2 linked regions of the Cricetulus griseus genome follow. The protein of the gene in region 2 interacts with the protein of the main gene of each other region in a pairwise test. Links are inferred from orthologs where the notes say so. Each region holds a gene or a part of one and is shown on either strand. Other genes may lie near its edges.

What was found.
Region 1: the proteins of Rabl6 (region 2) and Spink7 interact in binary tests that used the Homo sapiens proteins (3 or more experiments, as listed by UniProt). The link is inferred for Cricetulus griseus from reciprocal best matches to the Homo sapiens genes RABL6 and SPINK7.

Annotation. Positions count from the first base shown.
Region 1 is NC_048595.1:176,492,561-176,497,002, reverse strand, and holds Spink7 (serine protease inhibitor Kazal-type 7), read right to left. Parts: upstream 3,117-4,442; coding exon 3,056-3,116; intron 2,140-3,055; coding exon 2,114-2,139; intron 1,653-2,113; coding exon 1,528-1,652; intron 222-1,527; coding exon 176-221; downstream 1-175. UniProt on the Homo sapiens protein: Probable serine protease inhibitor.
Region 2 is NC_048599.1:136,935,520-136,939,336, reverse strand, and holds part of Rabl6 (rab-like protein 6), read left to right. Parts: intron 1-843; coding exon 844-1,178; intron 1,179-1,432; coding exon 1,433-1,586; intron 1,587-2,433; coding exon 2,434-2,643; intron 2,644-2,733; coding exon 2,734-3,001; intron 3,002-3,392; coding exon 3,393-3,564; intron 3,565-3,817. UniProt on the Homo sapiens protein: May enhance cellular proliferation. May reduce growth inhibitory activity of CDKN2A.

The sequences.
Region 1 (4,442 bases), on a different chromosome or scaffold from region 2:
ATTTGACAAGAGACATGAATCAGTAGGGATGAGCACCAAGACTGCACAATCAGTGAGGATGGCTGAATCTAGATCCGACCCCACTAGAACATCAGCAAAGAAGGGAAGTCTGTCAGAGCCCACACATGATGCACACAATGAAGACATTATTGTTCTTTCTTTGTCCATGGAGAAGTTAGCAATGGCCTTCATGAAGAAATTGAATTTTCCCATTACTCCTCCTGAGGAAAGATGATTAACAAGACTCAACAAAATCAGGAACATAAAAGTTGAAAGGAAGTTTAAAAACTATGAAATAGCAGTGGAACCTATTTTGTGGATAAGAACAAGACTGTGGAGTAGAACCTATTTCCAGAAAGGAAGACTGAGTTCCAGAACATCATGCTGTTTCAAGAGAGGAGAGGTTCACTGCTTCAATGATAACTATCCCAATCTTCTACTTCTATTGGAAGAATAAATTAGACTCCACAAATGGAGTTGAGGTAGCCTGTCTCTGTTTTTCTTGGTCAGGAGGACAATGATGGAGCTGGATACTGCAATACTGAGGAAAACTTCCATCATTTCTCTCTCTCAGGGGCTCCTGGCCTTGATTATGCCTAGTTTCTTGGTCTAGGGCTGCATATGCATCTGTGCTAAAGAATACTTCCTTCCATGAAAGGAAACTTCCCAAACAGAAATGTGTGTGTGCACATATTCTATGGGTTCAGGCTCAACTTGTTATTCTAACTTGCTAAGATAACAGCAAAGGTGAGAACACAGGACGTAAGTGTCCCAATGCTGGTGGCTATAAGATAATTAGCAATGATAAAAAGTGAATTAGATATAAGATAGTAAATTAAGTTTCATCTTATACTTTAAAAGGGTGATATCTACCTAATTACTATTCTTCCAAATACTGTGCAGGCCAAACAAAATACCTAAAGAAAGCATGTTCATGGACTTTTGATTCAGTAATAACAGCCTGTATCCTTTATTTTAGAAAAAAGGCAAACCAATCCTTTTCATTGCCTATTATCCTTTAAAACTACTAATACTTACTTAGAGCCTATAGCGATTTGAGAATAAAGCCCAGATGCATTAAAGTTATTTAGTACCTTAGAAACCATGTACAATAATAGATTCCAGCTCTCCAATTATTTAGGAACCTTTCTTCAAATAGGAACTATGGCAAAATGTACTGACTTTTTAAAATGGTGAAACTTCAACTTTGGTTTGGGGCCCACTCCAAATGGCCACTTTCACCCATTTGGTGACTCCTGACTTGACTCTAGGTTACAAAATATGAGTTTGAAAACTCATGACTTCCTAGAGTTACAATAATTAGAGATATGTGGTGGGATAGGAGCAGTTCAAGTTGGCAGAATAGCTGGCCCACCCATAGTCTGATTCAGCTACAATTGGCTTTTTCTTCTTGCCCTCTATTCTGCAAGGAAATGTGTAGACTATAAAGAGTTAAGAGGGATCTTGGGAAGGGAAAGGATTTGAGTAGGGAGCATCCCAGATAAACTCTTTGTATTTGATACTCACAAGATCTCTGTACACAACTTGCATTTATTCCCATAGGTGATATAGTCTGAACCACAAACTGGTGTGTTTTCAATGGGGCAGGGGATAGCTACCACTGGGTACTTCTTGTATATGTCACAGTCCACCTGGTTAGACACAAGAAAATGTCCTGGTTTTCTCAAATACCTCAAGTATAACTATCTTGGATCAACTAGAAAGGCTACAAGAGGTGAAGTTGCTCTCATCTCAAGTATTCTGATGCTGTTGAAGCAATATTTTATAAATTGTGACTCCACCATCATGATAAATACCAGTAGTCCCAGAACCCTTCCTTCTTTCAAATGCCACACTTGATGAGCAATCGCTGAGCATTTCTGTACCAGACAATTAACTTTAGTGTGACATGATTTCCCACTATTTAATATTTAGGACACTTGAATAAGAGAAGATCTACTATCATGCCTATTTACAAATGGGGAAAACATTTCTCCATCTGTGTTTATCTCCTCTGTTGATTTCTCTAAACATTTGACATGAGCTATGTATATTTGTTGACTAAGTAATAGCCAATATAAATTGAAATTAAAATTTTGTTTAGCATACTTACTGTTGGTGAAGGGTGAGTGGTAACTTCTGGAAGACAAATACAATGGAAATATTAAAAATAAAGCAAACCTGGAACTTTCATTAATCAATGTTGTCTTATCTTTCAGCCAAAGACTTTTCATTTCTTTTGGCATTGAATCTCAGTGTATACTCCATCATTATGGAAAATCACAGGTGTTTGTTTAGGAACTTGAATGGCCAATAGGTAAGCTCTTGAATCAGGAAGGCAAATTTATTTGTTCTTTCTGAAGCTTATGTGTACTTAATAAAGTCAATTGCTGCTGAATCCTTATCACTGATACACTTTCTTTATTAATCAACATAAACAAATGTAAAGGGCCACATGTGGGGGTGCACACATTTAATCAAAGTACACTGGAGGCAAAAGCAGGCAGATCTCTGCACGTCCAAGAACAGCCTGGTCTCCATAGCAAGTTCCAGTCCAGCTAGGACCACATAGTAAAATCCTGTCTCAAATCAGCAAACAGAAAAGTGAATGAATGTCTTTAACATGTTAGAAACGTATTTTAACTAAACCTCTTTTCACAATTTAAAAGCTGAATTAGTAATTTGAGCCTTCTGGAGGAGTATGGTTTATTTCCATCCTCCTATATGGATCTATGAAGACACCTAAGGACTCTCTATCTCTGCACTGGGGAGTAGCCATCAACTGGTCCAGGGGCAAATATCCTTATGTAACAGACTTTGTAAAGGAATTAGGACCCTTTTGTTCATGAGTGTCAAGTAAGAATCCACTCAAGGGAAGGCACTAAATCCCACTCCCTCAAAGTAAAGCTAGAATCATGATCCTTCTCCCCAGCCAGAACTCTTCCTCACTTTAAATCCACTTGATCAGATATTTATGTCCTAGAATCTAGGAGAAAATGTTTGTAAAAAAGAAAAATCCTTCATGACTACATGTGACCTGTGTAACCCAACTTACCTGAGCTGTTGCAGAAATAGGTTGCTGTGAAGAGCAGAAGGAGGCCCCCAATGAGCTTCATGGTGCAGAGGGATGAGATGAGGATGTTAGTGTTGTGAGAATGGCTTGAAGCTGAATGTTCTGTGCACTAGGAGAGGGGTCATATTTATATGGAAAGCTTTGGTTTCTCCACCTCTCCTGTGAGATCATCCAAAGTCAGTGTTGGGCCCAAGAAGCTCTCAAAGCACGTCACACCCTGAGTGGTGCTGTAGCACCTGTCAGTTAATTACTGCTTCCCTTCTCACTAACAGGGAGGTGATTTGAGGTGAAGAGTATTTTTTTTCTGTCTGTTGCATAAGTGAGGACTGTTAACTTACACTAAGCTTCTCGAAGAAGAGATTAAGCACAAGTTTCCTGTCTTAGCTATGAAACAAAAAGAAATTACCAGCTCAGTTTATTTTACTTGAATGGAAGGTATTAAACACAGGCAAGCCATGGGATACCTACATTCAGGTTTGGTTAGGTTCCTGAGAAAATAGTTTTCTTTTGAAAGCAGTGAAGCCATTAAGCATGGTAGGGTCTGGCAAACATGGCAACAGCTTTGACATTTATGAGACTTGGAGAAAGTTGTTGGTCTTTCCTAGCTATGAAACCTTGGACAAGTCATTGATGAAGCTGTGAACTTTTACCAGTCAGGAAAGCACAGTCATGTGATAGTTGTAATTTTAAGATTTCTATAACTTAAATCTGGTACCTGTATGAATGTGTGGTCAGGTGATGCTGCTGCAAGGCTATCACTCCAGCTACCAAATGGGCAGAGTAGTCACTGTTTAGTATAGGGTTGTCAAGTGAGGTGAAGTAATATCCTGAAGGACATCCCTTTCCATCAATGAAATAAATATTCGATCCCAGAAGCGATAACCCTTTTCTGTCACATAGCTATTGGTCTCATGATCTTTTCCAGCTGTAGAGTATATGGAATTATTATGGTCACTCTTAGCTTGTCCCCTGAAGGTCAACATGAGAATGACTACAAGTAGTTGACAAACAGCAGAGTGGACTCCCTCAGAGCCTGAGTGCCATCCCAGTCCCATTAGTCACAACCGAGCTAAATGCCATTAACATGAAAGTGTGCTCAAAAGCTGAGTGTGTTTGAATACATACTTGAGATTGTTAATATGAGGAGACAGGAGTCAGTACTTGGATTGCTGGTAATTAAACTGTAAACTGTGTTGTTCAACAACAGTTTTCCAAGTGCCTGCTATTTGTTTGCAAAATGCAAGGACATGAATGAAAACCTGGAAGACTGCAGGATATAGAGCTCATTGCTTAATAAGCATAATTTTATATGTTCTGAAACACCTCATATGCAAATGATATTAAACAACTTAAAATAACATTGCATCAC
Region 2 (3,817 bases):
TGGTCTGTACCTGTGAGGCAGTGGAGAAAGCACCATATACATGGGTGGTAGGTCAGTCAACCTGAGTATTCTTTAGCCAAGCCCTTAGTACTCAGGTGGAGCAATGTGGGGAATAGCTGAGTAACATGGTACACCAGCTCATCTCAGCCTCTTAGGACAGGTACTCCATGCTATTACCCAAAGCCCTTCCTGTTCACCGATTGAGGTTTTTAACTATTAATGTGAATTGCTTAGTAAAGCACTTGCCTAGAACAAGTGTATTAATACTGTGAATTGAGCTATGCTGATCTTGGGGACAGTTTCAGTTTCCTTACAGACCCCTGAGTTCTTGCAGAAAGTGAGGGCAGATAATCCTGAGGGTGGGCTGTATTGGCTCTGGCACTCTATACCCCCAAATAGTTTGGAACCATCAGAACCTACATCTGGTATGGTTCCTACATGTGGATCAGCACAAACCTGTGGTTAAAGCAACTACACATGTATGATTAGCAACTCTACCCCACTGGCAAATAACCAGCCATACCTGCCTCTTGGTCACTAGTTGGGTACTGTTGACAGCCACTGACCTACCCAAACCCTATAAAACAGTTGGTCCTGGTTGACTCTGGTCATTCATCTGTGCTGTGAGACTCAGTTCCCCAGGCAGGTACCAGTATAAAGGGACAGGATATAAGCAAGGCATTAGTCTGGGTACCAAAGACTGTGAGGCAGCTGATTGGCAGGCAGTCCCTATCCTCTGCTTAATAGTATAAATGCAAAAGAGGCACTGATGGTCAAAAGCCTTGGAGAAAGAGGTCCAAGAGAAAGCCAACTTCTCACTCCCTATCCTTTTGCCCCTCCTAGCTTCCTTGAAATGATGGAGGCTCGAAGTCGAGGCCATGCATCCCCTTTGGCGGCCAATGGGCAGAGTCCATCCTCAGGTTCCCAGTCTCCAGTTGTGCCTCCAAGTGCTGTATCCACAGGAAGCTCCAGCCCCAGCACTCCCCAGCCTGCCCCCCAGCTGTCCCTCAGTGTCTCCTCCACCTGTCCCCAAGCACCGTCTCCTGCACCCCCTTTGGAGGCTGTGCCCTCCTCTGTGCAGCCTTCAGCCCCAGCCCCAGCCCCAGCCCAGCGTCGCAGTATCATCTCTAGGCTGTTTGGGACCTCACCAGCTGCAGAAGTGTCCCCTTCACCTCCAGGTAGGCCTGGGAGCAGCCCTCTGAACATGTGAATTTGGAGCTAGCTTCTGGTATCTTGAGCCTCACATCCCTCAGAGACTGGAATGCGGTTCCTGTGTCCCTAATAAGCTCCTCCCTCATGGGCCAGCTGCTGCTGTTTGGACCTATGATCTTGAGTCAGGGTGCATGAATTGTCAAGTCCTAGTCCTACAGACTCAGTTTTGAAGCTTTCCTATCATGGGGCCACATAAGGAAGAAACGGCATTTCTCTACAGAGCCAGCTCCAGCCCTAGAGGCCCCAGCAAGAGTCCAGAATGTTGAGGATTTTGTCCCTGAAGATGGCCTTGATCGAAGCTTCCTGGAAGACACAACCCTGCCTAAAGACAAGAAGAAAATTGGAACCAAAGGCCCACAGCAGGATAGTGACAGGTAAAGATAGATTGATGGAGCTGAGCACAGGGTCTACCTCAAGGGACTGCCAACACAGCTTCCCCATCCCATTTATACCTGGATCTCCAAGACACTGCTGGGGATTGTGGAAAGCCTTTCTTTGTGCTTGCTGGGTTGGTGTCTAGCTTTAAGGAACGAAGGCTGAATTCTGACTGGAAAAACTGAGGGAAGGGCTGCTTAGATTAATCACTGCCACCCTGGGGTATGTAGATAGCCAGCTCACCATGGAGTGGGGCAGTTTATGCCCACAGCAGACTGGAGAACACTGGGCTGGAATCTTCCTAGGACAGCAAGAACCTTGGCAGATGGCCCAGCAGGGACAGAGGCACTCTGAATATATCCTAGCCCATTCTATGTGTAGGGCATAGGGAAGGCCACCTGGGTCTCTCCATATGGACCCAAACAAGCAAGCCTTGGCCAGGTGTGGCTTCCTGTAGCTACCCCTTCCCACAAACCCCATCTGTCTTCTAACAACACACTAAAACCTGTGTACAGCCAAGCTCTAAGATCACTCTCTCTTGCAGATCAAATGTTGAATGACTGTTAGCATCTCCAGCATCATCATGTTCAATGGAGCCAAGGGATTCCCTTCCAGAAACAAATAGATTCAAGGCTTCTAGCTGGGCTCCTCTCCCACTGATTCCCTCATTGGCCAGCAGCAAGGCAGTGTTGTCCTATTATTCCCACCTCTATTTAGCAGCCCCTGTGACAGCCCAGAAGGTCTTGTCAATAGAATATGGTACTGTAGACAGGGCAGCTCTCCAGGCAGTGGGGTAGGGAATCATAGCCCCCCTCGAACTTCTGATTGCCTTCCCCCTCTTTGCAGTGATGATGGGGAGGCCGTAGGAGGGAACCCAATGGTGGCTGGTTTCCAAGATGATGTGGACATAGAAGACCAGCCACATGGCAAATCCCTGCTGTCCTCAGACCCCATCCCCAGTAAGAACATCAGTCTTTCCAGTGAAGAGGAAGATGAAGGACTGGCAGGCCACCCCAGAGTGGCTCCTCAGCAGTGCTCAGAGCCTGAGACAAAACGGTATGGGCTAGGGTCCTCGGGGTATGGCCAGCTGAGATAGTGGCATCCTAGGGTGGCCTCAGAACTCCTGACATTTCTTCTTATGTGAAGGACTTCCACCAAGGCCTCACATCTACAAAAGAAGGGAGCTCCCACCCGAGCCATACCCTCATGGTCCGATGGTCTCACCACTGGCTCAGGGACTGACCTCGGCAGTACCAAGCCACCTACTGATGGCTCTCATAGACCTCAAGAAGGAAAGGACAAGCAGGTGTCGTCAGAAAGTGATCCTGAGGGGCCTATTGCTGCTCAGATGCTGTCCTTCGTCATGGATGACCCTGACTTTGAAAGTGATGAATCGGACACGCAGAGGAGAGTGGTAAGGACAGTGGGAAGCTCAGCCTCCATCCTTCCAGAGATAGAGGACAATCAAGGTTTGTTTCCCAGAGCAAGGTTTAAAGAGAGGCAGGAAGGAGAGTATTCCTGGCTCCAGTGCCCCAGAGACACAATCCCTTCTTAACATGTTTCTGAAGCCAGCTGGAGGAAGTGGACAGGAGTCCATGGGTGGGTGTCCATTGTCCACATGAAGGCCCTGCTGATCTGGGTCAGGTTAACCCCTTTCTACCCCACACCAGCCCCTAGGTTCCCAAAGGGACTTGCCATCTTGCTTCAACCCATGGCAGTTGTCAGGACAATAGGCCTACCAACTACACACTCTCTCTCTCTCTCTCTCTCTCTCTCTCTCTCTCTCTCTCTCTCTCTCTCTCTAGGGGGGTTTCCCAGTAAGAGAAGACCTCTCTGATGTGACCGATGAGGACACTGGCTCTGCCCAGCCACCCCTACCCTCCAAGCCCTCAGTCTCTGCTTTCAGACTGAAGAATGACTCAGATCTCTTTGGGCTGGGCCTGGAGGAGACAGGACCTAAGGAAAGCAGTGATGAAGGTAGGAGGGCCTGGAGCTTGTCCCTCTCCTTGGAGCCATGTACAACTTGGAGGTCCTTATCCTGTGGTAGTTCAGGGACCTGCGTTAAGAATTTTAGCCTGCCTACACATCATAGCTATTAGCTATAAGAGTCTCTAGAATGGGAGTAACTGTCACAACAGATGGCTTTGCCCAGACAAGCATATGCCCAAACCTAACATCTGCATTGTGGCCCAGAATTGCCATCCAAAACTGTCACCCTGTTCATGGTTCC